Linked DNA regions of Mus musculus. The protein of the gene in region 1 binds, or shares a complex with, the protein of each later gene. Links are inferred from orthologs where the notes say so. Each region holds a gene or a part of one and is shown on either strand. Other genes may lie near its edges. The genes, in order: Lage3 and Gon7.

Region 1 (8,123 bases):
GGGATGGACAGATGGTTCAGCAGTTAAGAGCACTAGCTGCTCTTACAGGGTCTTGAGTTCAATTCCCAACAACCATCTGTAATAGGATCCAATGCCCTCTTCTAGTGTGTCTGAAGACAGCTACAGTGTACTCATATAATATATATATATATATATATATATATATATATATATGTATGTATGTATGTATGTATATGTTTTTCAAGACAGGGTTTCTCTGTGTAGCCCTGGCTGTCCTGGAACTCATTCTGTAGACCAGGCTGGCCTTGAACTCAGAAATCCGCCTGCCTCTGCCTCCCAAGTGCTGGGATTAAAGGACTGCGCCACCACTGCCCGGCAAAATAAATAATTTTTTAAAAGTGCAGTTTTGAAGCTAGATGTGATGGTGCATGCCTTTAATCTCAGTATTCAGGAGATAGAGGCGGGCAGATTTCTATGAATTTAAGACCATCTTGGTCTAGAGTTCCAGGCCATCCAAGCTCAGGTCTCACACAGTGAGACCCTTTCTCATAATAGGAGAACAAGGAGGGCAAGATAAGTTGATAGTGCTGTAAAGATAGATTTTTCTCGGGGCTGGAGAGATGCTCAGAGGCTAAGAGCACTTGTTACTCTTGCAGATGACCTAGGTTTGGTTCCCCCACATGGTATCTCACAATTGCCTGTAACTCTAGTTGCAATGTCCTCTTCTGGCCTCCATGAATACCTGTACTCTTTCTTTGTTTTGTTTTTGTTTTTATTTATTTTTAAAGATTTATTTATTTTCTTTTTTTTGGGAAATGTTTTAAAAAGATTTATGTATTTATTTTATGCATGAGTACACTGTAGTTGTCCTCAGACACACCAGAAGAGGGCACGAAGTAGCATTACAGATGGTTGTGAGCCATGTGGTTGCTGGGATTTGAACTTAGGACCTCTGGAAGAGCAGTCATTGCTCTTTACCGCTAAGCCATCTCTCCAGCCCCCACATACCTGTACTCTTGTATACACACACACACAGAGAGAGAGAGAGACAGAGAGAGAGAGAGATTTAAAAATTAATGTTGGGAAAAAAGGAGGGCTGAAAGTATGGCTTAGTGCTTAAGAGCAACTGTTCCTCTTGCAGAGGACCCTAGTTCAATTCCTAACACCCATGCATTGACTCACACCCAAGGAAAGAGACTAAGGCCTGGGAAAAGAATCTGCTCCTGTGACAACTCTCCTTAGCCCTGAAAGCAAGACTAGTAGCTGCCTTCTCTTTTGGATGGCAGTAGGAAGGGTCAGAAAGGTCATGCCTCAGTAATGAGAAAAGCCTACTTCTATACACAGCTGCTCTGCTCCATGCAGCATTCCCTCAAAGTAACATACAAAGGTTCATATACCCTCCAAGGGATACAAAGAAGCAGGAAAACTCAACTCAGATGAAAGGAAAAAAATATTAGTAGAAAGGAAAAGGTACAATGGCTTTTATTCTGAGAAACATAACCTATACAGAAAATCTGATGGCATGTACAAATAAACCACTGGGCTGAGGGTAGCCACGTTGTAGGGCATGTTTTATGGGGAGTTGATGTCAGACACTTTTCCTTACAAGGTGGAGAAGCTAACTAAGCTCTATTTCTGGGTTATTTGTTTTTACATAAACAAAGTTTTTTGGGAGGGGATGTACTGGCATTTGGTTTAGGGGGGGAAATATTAGCAGCGCTAAGAATTTGAAAAAAACAGTATCTGGTGGGTAGACTTACTTTCAGGAGTACATTTACTAGGGTATGTCGAGAACATTCAAAGAAATCTTACTAAGAGCTCATAAACTAATCAAGAATAATCATTTGTTCAAACATGTATTTACAAGAATCATATCCAAATTATTTCTCAGGAAACAAGGCAGGAGAATCAGTGGTTCAAGGTCATCCCAGCTATTTAATGTGTCTGAGAACAAGCTGGGGTATATGAGACTCTTATAAAATAAAAGAAAAATTGGAAGAATGAAATGATTTTTTCGAGACAGGGTTTTTCTGTGTAGCCCTGGATGTCCTGGAACTCACTCTGTAGACCTGCCTGGTCTTAAACTCAAAAATCCTCCTGCCTCTGACTCCCAAGTACTGGGATTAAAGTCATGTGCCACCACGCCCGGCTGAATGAAATGATTTTTAAGTATTCAACAATTACATTAAATTGCACCACATATATGCCTATTTCAGTGTTTAAAAATTATTTTTTATGCACAAGCCGGGTTTAATGGTGAATGCCTGAGGTCCCAGCAGCACCTGAAAGTAGAGATGAGGATAAGAAACTGAAGAGTTTGAGGCCAGCCTAGGCTATGAGACCCTTTCTCAAAAAATAAAAACAACTTGGCTAGAAAGAAGGAAAATGCACTATAGGTGAAAAAAAAATCTTAAGAAGAATTATAATGCTAAACTTAAAATTTTTATTTATTTGGTGTTTGTGGTATGCATATGTGCAAACACTCTCCAAGGTCAGAGGACAACTTGTAGGAGTTGGTTTTTTCCTATCACTTTGTAGGATTCAAACCACCATAGCGCATGGAATTTTAATTTTCCTGTATTTCTGAAATTATCCTCATTCACTTTCTTCTAATATATTTTTACAGTACTGGGAATTGAACCAAAGACTTCATACATTTTAAATGAATACTCTTACCTTGTACTAACAAACACCTGAGCCGGGCAGTGGTGGTGCCCACCTTTAATCTCAGCATTTGGGAGGCAGAGGCAGGTGGATTTCTGAGTTTGAGACCAGCCTGGTCTACAGAGTGAGTTCCAGGACAGACAAGACTACACGAGAAACCCTGTCTTAAAAAAAAAGAAAAAGGGCTGGCGAGATGGCTCAGCTGTTAAGAGCACTGACCACTCTTCCAAAGGTCCCGAGTTCAAATCCCAGCAACCACATGGTGGCTCACAACCACTCGTAATGAGATCTGACACCCTCTTCTGGTGTGTCTAAAGACAGCTAAAGTGCACTTATGTATAATAATAAATAAATCTTCGGGCTGGAGTGAGCAGGGACTGAGCAAACGGAGTTGACTGGAGCAAGCTGGCTGACCGTAGCGAATGGGGTTGACCGGAGCGAGCAGCGGTCCTAAATACAATTCCCAACAACCACATGAAGACGCAAAACCATCTGTACAGCTATAGTGTACTCATATGCATAAAAATGAATAAATAAATCTTTTTAAAACAAAGAAAAGAAAAAACAAACAAAAGAAACCACCTGAATTCCAGAGCCCCTCCTCCAACACAAAATAAAAACCAAAGAAAATTTAGAGGCTGAAAATAAGCTCAAATGCAGATTAGCAACATAGCTTTATTTTCTTCAGCAACAAACATTGAAGCACCAGACCAAATGGCTCCTAAGTGCCTGAGGACCAAATCAGGAAAAAAATATTAGGCCCCCACATTTATGTAGTAGTTACTATTTCTAGAATCTTTTCCCTAGGGAAAATTGTATTGCTTAGGAGGAGACGGAGATAAGGTCAGACATGGGTCCCCAGCCAGGCTTAACAGGAAACTGGGGGCCCAAAGAGCTGTATGGTGTTCACCACTAGGGAAAGCTGGTCAAGAAAGTTGATGATGGAAAGTCGGAGGAGGCGAGAATCTTCCGCGATCCAGCGTCTAAGAGTGAGGAAAAGAACATCAAATTCAAACTGGTAGTTTCTACCCTTATTTCTTTCCTTTTATTTATTTTTTTTTTTTTGGAAATAGATAGAAAATCTCTCACTATGTAGCCATGGTTGGCTTAGGGATTGCTATGTGGATCTGGCTGGCCTGGAACTCACAGTAATCAGACCATCTGCCTTTCTCTTGGCTCCTACCCTTTCTTCATCTGTCAGGCATCCACTGTACTGCAGGTAGAGACTAGACTGGTCCAGTGCATCATGCCTTTCCTTAAAAATCACTCTAGTGTGATGATGTCTCTGAGGAAGTGCAGCCTAGGGTGGAGGATGGCCCAGACACCTACCCAGCATCCTAGACTCTTTCAACACTTACACCTCCAGCATGCAGCCGCTCACTTTAAGCTCCTTCCCTACCAGTCCTCGATGTGGTTCGACATCTGGAACTAGGGACCCACAGGCGATTTCTGCCTCCAAAGAGGTCGGGAAAGGCACGAAGAGGGAGCTGGTAGAGACTCAGGAAAGGCACCATCTTGAATCAACTTTGCCTCCTTACCCCTCTAAAATCATCGCATCTGGTCTAAGCTCCCCAGGCTATATCTTCCACATTGCTTGGGCCATTCCTGCTCATTTCCCTCCACCCTGCTGCCCCTCCTCTGTTGTCAAGGAACTTTTCATGCCCAGGCCATACCCCAATCAGCGGGTCCCTCTGCTTCCCTCCTCCCTGCTTTTTTTTCTTTTCTTTTCTTTCTTTTTTTACCCTCCTCCAGACTACCCGCTTCCCTGTTTCAAGCATCCCGCAGATATGTCCATGTCCGGTAGGATACAATCTGTGATGTCGGGTTCCAGGCCTTTGGGTTAAAGGCACCATGCTTTTGCTGGAATTTCGGGAGGCTTCCAGTGCTCTTGCAACAGGGTGAGCTCCACTGGGAATAACTGCCTTTGTGCCTGCATTACCAGGACAACAGCGGCTAGTCTGACCATCGGCGCCATCTGCAGTGTGGCTTAAACCTGTGTGTGCTGTCTGCATGTCTGCTGCTGTTCCTCCTTTCAACCCACCTTCGCGTTACCAGCCCGCCGCCTCTGCCATTGCTGCGGCCCAGAACCCGCCTTATCCTCCGGAAGCTCCGCCCCTCGCACAGGCTGCCATTCCACACGCGCCTGCGCGAACGGGGAAGGTGGTGGGGCCGGGGAGGGGCGAGGGGCGGGGGGGGGGGAGGGAGGCGGGGCGGGGAGGAGCGGTGGGGGGGGGGGGTGGGGGTGGGCAGGAGGACTCTCCAGGGATTTATAGGTTGATCTGGTCAGCTTCTGCCTCCAAAGTGCATCACCATGCCAAGTTGTCCCTACAGTTTCCTAAAAGGGACCTAAGGTGATATTTTCTAAAAAACAAAACCACAACAAAAACCAAAACACTATCAAACCAAAAAACTGTCAAGTGGCCTGGTGTGGTGATGCCTGAAGAAATCTTAGCATTTAGGACCATGGTTCTCAATCTGTGGGTTGACCCAAGTTGGGGTCACATATCAGATATCCTGCATATCAGATATTTACATTACAACTCATAACAGTAACAAAATTACAGTTATGAGGTAGCAATGAAAATAATTTTATGGTTGGGGTCACCATAACATGAGGAACATATTAAAGGGTTGCAGCATTAGGAAGGTTGAGAACCACTGATTTAGGAGGTGGGAATAGTTCTTTGCTTAAGTTGGAGGTCAGCCTGATCTACATAACCACTTCTAGGCTATCCAGACTTACATATTTATATCATCTCAAAAGCAGTCACAAAACAGAAAACCCCATCAACAAACAAATGAAGTGAAATGAGATTTTGAGTATCAGCAAGCAAGAGGTTTCTTTATTTTTCCAGATAAGTTCTCTTAGCCAGGGTTACATGCCTTTAATCCCGACACTTTGGAGGCAGAGCAGGTGGCTGTGAAGTTGAAGTCAACCTGGTCTTCATAGTGAGTTCTAGGACAGCTATATAGTGAGGCCCTGTTGAGGGTGGTGGTAGAGGGATCGGGAAAGGAAGGAGAGAGGGGGGACAGAGAGGACAGAGAGGAGAAAGAGGAGAGAGAGACTCTATGTAGGTCTGGCTGTCCTGGAAGTTGTTCTGTAGACCAGGCTGGCCTCAAACTCAGAGATCTTCCTGCCTTTGTCTTCTGAGTGCCAGGATTAAAACACAACCCTCACCCCAGCTAAATGTATTTATTTTTATTGTATGTGTTTGAGTGTTTTCCCTGTTTGTATATAAGTGCACCTACTGTGTGCAGGTCCTGGTATCTATGTGAATCCTGTAACTGGAGTTGTGGGTGGTTATAAACTGTCATGTGGGTGCTGGGAACTGAATCCAGGTCCTTTGCAAGAGCAGCAAGTTTTAATTACTGAAGCAGCTCCAGCTCCTCTCCTTGAACACCTTCAAAAGCCCTGAGATTTTCTTTTACAACTGTCTACAGCTTATCCTCCACAAAATCATTCCTAATTTCATTTTTAAAAATATGTCTTACTTATTCCTTGACAATTTCATACATGTATACTATGTATTTTGATCCTACCTATCCTCCAACTCACCTTTTTCACTTTGTCAGATTTGTTTGTTTGTTTGAGACAGGGTTTCTCACTCTGTAGACCAGGCTGGTCTTGAACTCAGGAATCCACCTGCCTCTGCCTCCCAAGTGCTGAGATTAAAGGTGTGGGCCACCACTGCCCAGCTTCAAAATTCTTATATAGATCATATGCATGCTTAAAATTCTGTAAATTGGAGCTGGAGAGATGGCTCAGCTTTTAAGAGTGCTGGCTGTTCTTGCAGAGGACCTGGGTTCCATTCTCACTACCCACCTAGCAGCTCACAAGAAATGGTTCAAGGGGGACCTGATGTCCTCTTCTGGCTTCCATGGGCACCAGTAACATGTCTGATGCACAGAGACACATAAAGGACAAACACCTATGCATATAAAAATAGAATAATTACATTTTTATTTTTAAAACTCTAAAAATAAGAATGGTGGCTGTGGGTTCGACAGCACTCATTAGGTATAGCACTTATATGACATTTCAAGGTCCTGGTTTCATTCCCAAAGTCTCTGCAGTAGTTTATAAGATCGTTGTATAATGTGGCTCAATGACTTCTTGGTCAGGGAAGAAATAAAAACAGAAATTAAAGACTGTCTAGAATTCAATGAAAATGAAGGCACAACATACACAAACTTATTGGTCACTATGAAAACAGTGCTAAGAAGAAATTTCACAGCACTAAATGCCTTCATAAAGAAATTAGAGAGTTCTCATACTAGCAAATTAATAGTATACCTGAAATCTCTAGAACAAAAAGAAGCAAGCACACTCAAAAGGAGTGGGTGGCAAGAAATAATAAAATTGAGGGGTGAAGAAGAAAAGAAACAAAGAGAACAGTACAAAGAATCAATGAAATAAGCTGGGTGTGGTGGCGCACGCCTTTAATCCCAGCACTTGGGAGGCAGAGGCAGGCAGATTTCTGAGTTCAAGGCCAGCCTGGTCTACAGAGTGAGTTCCAGGACAGCCAGGGCTACACAGAGAGACCCTGTCTCAAAAAACAAAAAACAAAAACAAACAAACAAAAGAATCAATGAAATAAAGAGTTGGTTCTTTGAGAAAATCAACAAGATAGACAAACCCTTATCCAAACTAAAAGACACAGAGACAATACCCAAATTAACAAAATCAGAAACAAAAGAGAGGCATAACAGACACCCAGGGAATCCAAAGAATCATGAGGACATACTTTAAAAACCTGTACTTCATCAAATTGAAAAATCTAAAAGCAATGGATAATTTCCTCAATAGGTATCACTTACCCAAATTAAATCAAGATCAGATAAGCAATTTAAACATACCTATAATGCCTAGTAAAATAGGAGCTGTCATTACGGCTGAGATGGCTCAGTGGGTGAGAGCACTGACCGCTCTTCCGAATGTCCTGAGTCCAAATTCCAGCAACCACATGGTGGCTCACAACCATCTGTAATGGGATCTGATGCCCTCTTCTGGTGTGTCTGAAGACAGCTACAGTGTACTTATTGATGATAATAAATCTTTTTAAAAAAGAAGCAGTCATTACAAGTCTCCCAATCAAAATTAAAAAAAAAAAAGCCAGGGGTCAGATGGTTTTAGCACTGAATTCTACCAGACTTTCAAAGACAAGCTAATACCAATATTCAAATCATTATATAAAATAGAAAGAGAAGAAACAATGCCAAATTCATTTTATGATGTCACAATCACTCTGATACCCAAACCACACAAAGACTCCATAAAAAAGAAAAATACAGACCATAATAAATTCATAAACATTGATGCCAAAGTATTCAATAAATTATTCACAAACAAATAAAAAATCACATCAAAAACATCATCCATCATGATCAAGTAGGCTTCATCCCAGAGGTGCAGGTATGGTTCAAAGTGTAATCCACCATATAAACAAACTGAAAGAAAAAAAAATCACATGATCATCTCATTAGATGCTGAATAAACC
Region 2 (9,077 bases), on another chromosome or scaffold:
ATCAGCCTAAAGAGCATCTCCTCCCAGACCTGGACTATTAACTATAATCTATATTGTAGACTCTCAACACATTATCTAGTGTTTCCAACCACATAAAAGTGAAAATACTCAAGAGAAAATGTTTTGGAAAATATTTTGGTGGGTTTTTTTTTTGTTGTTGTTGTTTTGTTTCTTGTTTTTTGTTTTGTTTTGTTTTTTTTTTACACTTTGGTAAATACCAACCTCAGCTCATTAAGTACACTTAAAAAAAAAAAAAGATTTCTTTTTATTTATATGGGGCAGGTGGGGTCCCCTGGAGCTGGAGTTACAGGTAGCTGTGGATGCTGGAACTGGGAAGAGCAATCAGTGCTCCTAGCTACTGAGCCACCTCTCCATCCCTGCTCCCAAGTACATTTGTAATCACAGTGCTTACTTACAGGAAATAATTTGCATTCCAAGTTTTTAAACTTGCTGTTTCCACAATCACAACGAAAATTTCTATTAAAAAAAAAAGAACATATATTTACGTCTTCTTTTGAAATTAATCACTCTTTCAGTACCAACCATAACTCCCTCTGACTCATTCCTAGACTCTAAATGGCAGCCTTTCTGATGTTCGTGTCTCTTGTTGGAGTTTTCCAACAATAAAACAGATAAATACAAATTACCATTCTGGACATCACAACACATAAAAAACAAATATCTGTATCACTCACACACACAAACAAATGAGATAATGAAAAGATGAGAAGTTTGAGCCAGTCTCCATAATTAAAAGGCCTATAGAAAAACCATTCTCTCCCATATTAATTTTTACCAACACACAATTATTCTGAATAAAAAGCAAGATTAAGCAGCCATTGAGGTTGCGAAAGAATCTAAACATTCAGAAGACACTCAGGAAAAAGCATTACCTTTTTGTGTATAGTTCAAACAGTTTATGGCTTCCATGACATTCGTAACTGCAAGCTAGACAAATCCCTGCGGGCTCTTCTCCCTCTGGCGTGCAGGTGCTGCAGGCGTACAGTGCTTGTCTCCCCACTGAGCCCTGAGACACCAGCCCAAAACAAAAGGGAAGAAGAACAGAAAGACTAGTTAACCAACAAAGGGTCAAAACCACTATTTCAAGCCCCAGATCTATTCGGATGCTTAGCTTTATGTAAATTTTTTTCTTATAGCAATAGGAAGTTTAAATCTGTGAATAACTTGATCTGTTTAATCATTTTAACACATGAAAATAAAGGTGAGTTTACAGTTTACAGGTTTAAAAGATTAATACACCTTTTTTTTTTTTTTTTTTTTTTGGTTTTTCGAGACAGGGGTTCTCTGTGTAGCCCTGACTGTCCTGGAACTCACTCTGTAGCCCAGGCTGGCCTTAGCTCAGAGATCTGGCTGCTTCGGCCCCTGAGTGCTGGGTAATCCGTGTGCCACCACCACTTCGCTCACATTTCTCTTCTTTTTTTAAAGAGGTTTTAGTTATTTATATTATGGATATGAGTACCCTATTTGCACGTATGCCTGCATAACGGAAGAGGGAAGGCATGGACCTCATTACAGATGGTTGAGAGCCATCATGTGGTTGCTGGGAATTGAACTCAGGACCTCTGGAAGAGCAGCCAATGCTCTTAACCACTGAGCCATCTCTCCAGCCCTCACATTTCTTATTTTAGAAATTCTTATAATTCAACCATACAGAAAAATTAATCATTTTAATTTGGGGAGAGATGTATGGGGAAGCATCTAGAAGTATAATTATGCCCACTACTTACTGTCAAGTAATGAAGTATAAAAAAGGGCAAGTGTGTTCAACAGAGACAAATGTTTTAAAATGTTGAAGGAAAAATAGCAAAACTTAGAAGTGTTGGTAAGGGGATTCTCAGCACACAGGGCCGTGGTAGAGGGGACAGAGCACAGGTCCATACTGGTGCAGCAAATGCTTTACTGAGCCTGCCAGTGAACTACCACACACACTTCTATTCTATTTCAATCTGCTCCTAGTTTACTAAAGAATTTGCCGGGCCAGCGAGATAGCTCCGTGGGTAAAGTCACTGGCTCTGTAAGCCCGGAAACCTTCGGTCCACCTCCAGAACCTATACAGAGGTGGTGAGGACAACCGCTTCCATAAGGCTGTTCCCTGATGCCTGTCTGCATATGCTATGTGGTACATGTGCCCACACACATCAGTAAGCAAGCTTGTTAAAATCAACCTGGAGTTAGAGAGAGATGGCCCAGAGCTTAAACGCACATACTGCTCTCTCAGAGAACTAGCATTGAGTCCCTAGTACCGTGTTGGCAGCGCACAACCCCCTGCAACTCCAGTTCCAGGGGGATCAGATTCTTCTGCCCTCAAGAGCATCTGTGCGCACATGCACATAGCCACACAAATACTTGAAAATCTAACAAAACAAAAGACTGCCAGGTGGTAGTGGTGGTACACACTTTTAATCCCAGCATTTGAGAGGCAGAGGGAGGCATATTTCTAAGTTCCAGGACAGCCAGTGCTACATAGAGAAACTCCGTCTCAAAAAAACTAAAAGAAAATAATTATTATTATTGATATACTTATATAGAGATATGACTATTTAAAAACAAAAACTTAGGACCAGGCCTTTAATCCTAGCACTTGGGAGGGAGGTGGATCCTTGTGAGTTCAAGGTTAGCCTGGCCTACATAGTGAGTTTCAGACCAATTAGAACCACTCAATCTGACTGTCTCAAAAAACAAAAACAAAATTCACCAGAAACAAGACTTTAAGCCAAGCATGGTGGTACACACTTGTAATACCAGCAGCACTTGGGAAGTGAAGATAGTCAAAAATTCAAGGCAGATCTGAGGGACATAAGATCCTACCCCCAATTTTAGTTAGTATTGTATAAAAATAAGTATATTAATAAAGAGCTTACATACAGACTTAGGATCTTTCTTTCTTTCTTCCAATGAAGGGGTGGGTGTGTGGTTTAATGGTCACAATGAAAAAGAGAAATAAAAAGGAAAGGACATGCCTGTTCCTTGGGAGGTTGAAGGAAAAAGTTTACTATAAAAGGAAGAGCTCGGAGGCAAGGACTTTTAGGAGAGTCCAGAGGCTAAAGATTCTGAACTGGGCCCTGGGAGAAGAGCAAGGAAGGGTAGGGGATAGGGATGGGGAGCCAGGTGCTACAGCCAGGAGACCCAAGAGAGCTGCATAAACAAAACGGCTGCATTATTTAGGGAAGGGAAGCTGGGGGAAGGGTAGCCCGGCTCCTGGGCTGGAGAAGTCTGGGAAAGTGGATTGGGTATGTCTGCCAGGAGAGTCCCGGAAGGGACAGAAGGGCAGGGAGAACCAGGAGGCCACCATCGGCTTTGATATGTTAAATAGGCACAACAGCAGAGTCCAGGGTTTGAAACCTAACAATGATCCTCCAAATTTAAATACCAGCGACCATGCTGTGACTACTTCTGGGATACAAGATTTATTCAACAATTTTACAGTGCAAACCCAACTTGGTCAACGAAGACAACTAGTATTATGACTTCAGTCCACGCCACACCATAACTCCAAGTCCCTTCACTCCTACCCCAGTCTCCCACTCCACCCATGGGCATAGTTAGCCTGTTTCCTTCCACCAATTCTCATCCTTGTTGTTAAGTTTCCTTCCTACCCACCCTTTTCCACGTTAGTACTTAAATGTACAGTATGCGTCACTAAACACTACATCTCAGCCCCTCAAACTCTCTCGTTCAAAAGGTCCCACAAATGCCAAACAGATCCTTTTCTCCTCTTGGCTTTCCAGTCCCCAGAGAGAGGGGATGTCACATAGCACATACACACGAAACTTCATTTAACCAGAAAGGGGGTGAGGTGGGGGCAGCTAGCAGTTAAACTAGACTACAGGAGTGTCCGGAAGCCGAACCTCACCGGAAGATTTTCAAAGCCGGCCCACTTTCCCTTTACTTTTCCCCATCTGGTCCCTAATTAAGATTCTTGGGCGGTGGGAGAAGTGGAGCGAAGAATATCTGGGTTTGAGAGATCACGAGAACAACCTCGTGAAAAGCAGGCCACCAAGAGGCGACAACTGGAGGACCGGAGCCTGCAGTGTACCATCAGCGGAACCGAGGGACAGCCCTGGTGGCGACAAGCTGAGGATGAAATGGCAGCCGGGCCGGGGCTGTAGAAGCACAGAGTAAAGGGCCGCCGTGAGTGGGCCCGGCCGCGGCCAGCGGGAAACAGACAGGACGGCGGGAGCAGCCGGGCCGCGCGCACCTGCGAGTAGGAGCACTTCTCCGAGTCGCTGCCGCCCAGGACGGCGCACGCCTCATTCTCCAACTCCTCGTCTTCCTCGAGCACGTCCACCAGCGACACCACGGGCTCCAGCTCCGCCTGGCACTCGGTGGGGCTCTCGGCTCCGGCCATCCTCAACTGTCACCGGGCTCCGCTGCGTGGGCCCAGGAGGAGGCGGGAAAAGTGGCCGCCGCCAGGGGCGTCGCGAGAAGGCGGGGCCCCGTGAGGAGGCGGAGCCCGAGCACCAGACAGCCAATCCTAAGGAAGGACACGGAAGAAAATGGGCGGGCCAATTTCGGGAAATCGGAAGTCATTCCTCCTCCTCCTCGCCTCTCCCGCCCGCCCCGGCCGCAGGCTGGCTTCCGCTTCCGGGTGGCGTTTCTCCGAGGCGCGCTGTTGAAGCTGAGTGGTCGCCATGGAGCTTTCGGGCGAGTACGTCGGTTGTGACGGGGAGCCGCAGCGGCTACGAGTGTCCTGTGAGGCGTCGGGAGACGCGGACCCTCTCCAGAGCCTGTCGGCGGGCGTGGTCCGGATGAAGGAGTTGGTAGCGGAGTTCTTCGGGACCCTAGTGGAGCAGGACGCGCAAGGCTTGGCGGAAGATCCGGACGACGCTTTGGATGGTGAGCGCGGGGGCGGGGCGCCGGGGGACACTGGCGGGACCGGGCAGTGTGAAGGGCAGGCTAGAGAAGGCGAGCCCCGGAGAAGAGGAGCAATCGCTTCTAAAAATCCTTAGAACTCGCTGCCCTCTTTGTCTGATATCCCACCGCCCCCCGTTTTTGCGACTTTTCCCACCAAAAAAAAAAAAAAAAACCGTGGCGAGCGTTGGACTAGGGACTGGTCAACGGACGAAGTCAGCTTGACTCCCTTGCAAAGAACGCAAAGGATTAAGATAGGCAGAGAAAGTGGCGGTCTGTAACCATTGCTAGCTGGCACGAAGACCCGAAAGGGCGGGAAGGTAGACCTGGTTGTTGAAAAACGGAAAGGAGTGAAATTAGAAACGAGAAAACGTGTTTGACAGAATGAGGAGAGCTTCGAATGACCGAGGCCCACTTTGTTTTAGGGAATCTTAACCCTCTCAGTTTTGTAGCTATTGTTTCGAAAGTAAAAGAGTTCTTTTTAGTTTAGCTTTTTGGTATTCTTAAATTAATTGATCGTTTCATTCATGTATTAATGCATTCAGGTCATGGTCTCTATCCCCCGCTGAACCCTTCTCGACAGGGCTCCTCGCCTTTCTTTCCGGCCTTTTTTTGTCACTGGATTTATTTAAGGATATTTGTATGATATTTACTGGAACTAGGGCAACACAGCAGTGACTAGACCACTGAAGAAAAACAATGACTCCCCCGCCCCCCATTAACCGCCAACCGCTCCTCTGAGAGGGGTGGCGCCTCATGAGCCCCCCCCTTCCTTGATGGAATGTTTACGTTGCCATCTTGTGCTGCCAGAGTTTAAGGGCTATATAATGTCCGAAAGCACTACAGCCCTTCCCGTCCTCTTACTTTCTCTCACCCCCTCTCCTGTTGTAGAAATTAACTGTTAATTTTGGTGGCTTGGGGTTTGTTTGCTTTTAAAGATGGATGTTTACCTGCATGCTTGTCTGTACACCTCTTATGTGCAGTGCCTTCGGAGGCCAGAAGAGGGCATCAAATCCCCTGGAACCAGAGTTACAGATAGTCAAGAGGGTGCCTCGTACATGCAGGGGAAAAGTAGGTGGTGCTCTTAACCACGGAGCCATCTCTCCAGCCCTAGCTCTGTTAATAGGAATAAAATTATTTTGTAGACATTGTCACCATGTAACGGTTAAACCAGCCTCGCTTTGGATTTGCAGAGACCTGCCAGACTCTGCCTCAGCAGTGCTGGAATTAAAGAAATATGCCACCACACTCCACTGTTGTTACATTTATTTCTAATCTTGAATTGAACACCAAGATAGATGTTTCATTGTTCTGAGCTAAGGAGTCAATTCTTCTGCAGAGGAGATTAAACTTCCGTATTCTTTATAATATAGTTATTGGCTGTCATTAAAAGGAACAATAAGGGGCTGGTGAGATGGCTCAGCAGTTAAGAGCACTGACTGCTCTTCCAAAGGTCCCAAGTTCAAATCCCAGCAACCACATGGTGGCTCACAACCATCCATAATGAGATCTGACGCCCTCTTCTGGTGTGTCTGAAGACAACTACAGTGTACTTACATATAATAAATAATTTTTTTAAAGAAACAATAAAAAGTATTAGCTAGATGTATTATTCACGGTTCTTCAAAGGAGCAGAGCTGATAGAATAAGTGTGATATAAAGATATTTATTAGAATGGCTTATGGCCTGTGATCTGAGTAGCCCAAAACTGGCAGTCTCCTGACAGAAAGGCTAAGCATCTGATAGTTGTTTGGTCCATGAGACTGGATGTCTCAACAGTCCCAATCATGTACTGGAGTTCCTGGAAAGTCTTAAGAGAGCTGCCAGTTTTCAGTCTATGTTGGAATCCTAAAGAGTAGGTTCTAACACCAACAAAGGAGTATCTTGGGCCTCTCAGTAACAGGATAGATGAACTTGATAGTCAGTGAGGGCAAGCAGGCAAAAAACAAAAGCTTCCCTCCATATCTTTTCACCTGGGCTGGGCAAGTTGACATTACTTGTCATTCTAAGATAGGACAGGCCACATTGTTGGTGGAAGTGTAAAGTGGTTATCTTAATTATATAGTTAGAGAAGAGCCTAGCTGTATGGCCAAGGTATTTGGATATATATTTTGAGTCTGAGTCTTATTTCTGGGAGCATTGGTCTAGGAGGAGGAACTGGAATCAGACTTCTACAAAATGATACCCTATGTTGGGTGCCAATAGGTTGTAATAAATTAGGAGTTTCTACTCCACCTTAGATCATTTAGTTCTCAGATTAAAAGACTTCTATTACTGTTTTATAATATGTAATAATATGGGTTTTTTTTTTTTTTTGGTTTTTGGTTTTTAGTTTTTCAGACAGGGTTTCTCTGTATATCCCTGGCTGTCCTGGAACTCACTTTGTAGACCAGGCTGGCCTCGAACTCAGAAATCCGCCTGCCTCTGCCTCCTGAGTGCGGGGATATAATACAGTTTTAATGCACTAGAGCTGGGCAAATATCTCCTTTCTAAGCTATTCTGAGCCACTTCCCCCAAAATAACCCCGGGTTATAACTTACCGTGTTCTATCTGGGCAGCTCTTAACTCCAACTGGCCTGTCCTCATGGCATGGCCATGTTTTCATGACTCACCTACCCCATGGTGTCTTCTCTCCATCTTCTTTTTTTCATGGTTCTCTTCAATCCACAAGAACCGAAACCATACCTACCTCTCCTATCCATCTATAGGCATCTTTATTCAACCAATAGTTTTAAATTAAGGAGCAGGGTCACATATCATTACTTGATATATGTGAGGATTCTCTCATCCCTGGGGCAACAAGACTTTGGGGGCCAGCATTTAGCATTACATTATTAACAGGCTGGCCTCGAACTCAGAGATTTGCCTGCTGCTTCCTGCCAAGTGCTATAATGAAAGGTATACATTTACTTTGTTTTTAAGACATGTCCTTACTGTGTAGCCCTGGCTCCCACGGAATTTACTATGTAGATCAGGCTGGACTTGAATTTAGAGAGAGATCTCTGCGTGTCTCCGCCTCCTAAAGGCTAAGATTAAAGGCTATCACACTCAACAAATTCCTCAAGTTTTTAAAAATTCACTTATTTTAAATGTATATGGGTAGCATGTTGCATATGTAAAGTGGGCTCTCTCCTTTTTATTGGGTTCAAGGGATTGAACATGGGTCACCAAACTTGTACTGCATTCACTTTTACCCACTGAGCAGTCCTACTGGCCCCACCCCTAGCATTTATAAACTGTCATGTATGTCTGGTTTGTGAGTCCCCAAAGGGAAATGGTCTCAGATCAGTCCCTTTACCTATTTGTATTTCTTCATCCACTAAACATAATGTCATACAACAAACATTTATTTTTAAAAGGTGATGATGAAGATGATGCAGAAGATGAAAATAACTCTGGTAGAACTAACTCAGATGGACCATCTGCAAAACGTCCAAAGCCAGCATCTTAACAATAGTGTTAGGACATTAAGACTGCTGCTAGGTTGAGTGTGATGATGCATATGTGTAATCCCAGTTAATTACACTGGCTGAGGCAGGAGAATTCAAAGTTGGAGGCCAGCTTGTGTGCTGCATGTCAAGACTTTGCCTCAAAACAAAAAGCCAAGATAGCAGAGCGCTGCCATTTCATCACCTGCTGGAACTTACAGAAGACCTGTGCTCTAGTTGGGGAACTCATTTCTTTTGTTTGATTGGAACAAGTTCATCACAGAGCAAACTTCCTTGTTTCTAACAAAGAAAAGTACAACAAAAGTTTGGGAGTGAACTCTTTTGTTTTCTCATCCTAAAATAAAATGGAACCATTCATAGTGGATGAAATCTAAATTGGCAAATGAATTTTTATGTTTGTTTTTCTCCTTTAAAATGATCGTTGAGGGCTGGTGAGATGGCTCAGTGGGTAAGAGCACCCGACTGCTCTTCCAAAGGTCCAAAGTTCAAATCCCAGCAACCACATGGTGGCTCACAACCATCCGCAACAAGATCTGATGCCCTCTTCTGGAGTGTCTACAGACTACAGTGTATTTACATATAATAATAAAATAAATCTTTAAAAAAAAAAAAAAAAATGATCGTTGAATCAAATGGTGTGTGTCTACATCTTTCAGTGTTTATAAAAGCTGCTTATCATAGTTCATAGGCAATTAATATTTAAAAGAATCGATAAGAGAAATATGATTTGTGTGTGTGTATATACGTCTGTACAAG

Evidence for each region.
Region 2: the proteins of Lage3 (region 1) and Gon7 are in contact, whole or in part, in a crystal structure (PDB 6GWJ), measured with the Homo sapiens proteins. The link is inferred for Mus musculus from reciprocal best matches to the Homo sapiens genes LAGE3 and GON7. Residues at the interface, in NP_006005.2 of Homo sapiens: Pro60, His61, Ile62, Phe63, Thr64, Leu65, Ser66, Val67, Pro68, Phe69, Pro70, Glu74, Arg102, Ile103, Glu111, Cys113, Leu116, Arg117, Val120, Ile121, Leu124, Asp125, Leu127, Ser128, Val131, Arg132, Met134, Gln135; in NP_115879.2 of Homo sapiens: Met1, Glu2, Leu3, Leu4, Gly5, Glu6, Tyr7, Val8, Gly9, Gln10, Leu17, Asp28, Pro29, Phe30, Gln31, Leu33, Leu34, Val37, Met40, Lys41, Val44, Thr45, Leu47, Phe48, Asp49.

What each region holds. Positions count from the first base shown.
Region 1 is NC_000086.7:74,348,891-74,357,013, forward strand, and holds Lage3 (EKC/KEOPS complex subunit Lage3), read right to left. Parts: upstream 4,729-8,123; 5' UTR 4,638-4,728; coding exon 4,435-4,637; intron 4,113-4,434; coding exon 3,984-4,112; intron 3,609-3,983; coding exon 3,494-3,608; 3' UTR 3,272-3,493; downstream 1-3,271. UniProt on the Homo sapiens protein: Component of the EKC/KEOPS complex that is required for the formation of a threonylcarbamoyl group on adenosine at position 37 (t(6)A37) in tRNAs that read codons beginning with adenine.
Region 2 is NC_000078.6:102,753,321-102,762,397, reverse strand, and holds the start of Gon7 (EKC/KEOPS complex subunit GON7), read left to right. Parts: upstream 1-4,587; 5' UTR 4,588-4,652; coding exon 4,653-4,857; intron 4,858-8,231; coding exon 8,232-8,323; 3' UTR 8,324-9,077. Other genes in the region: putative E3 ubiquitin-protein ligase UBR7, read right to left, coding at 417-477, 894-1,027, 4,220-4,369; Gm20604 (AK010878-Moap1 protein), read left to right, coding at 4,653-4,857. UniProt on the Homo sapiens protein: Component of the EKC/KEOPS complex that is required for the formation of a threonylcarbamoyl group on adenosine at position 37 (t(6)A37) in tRNAs that read codons beginning with adenine.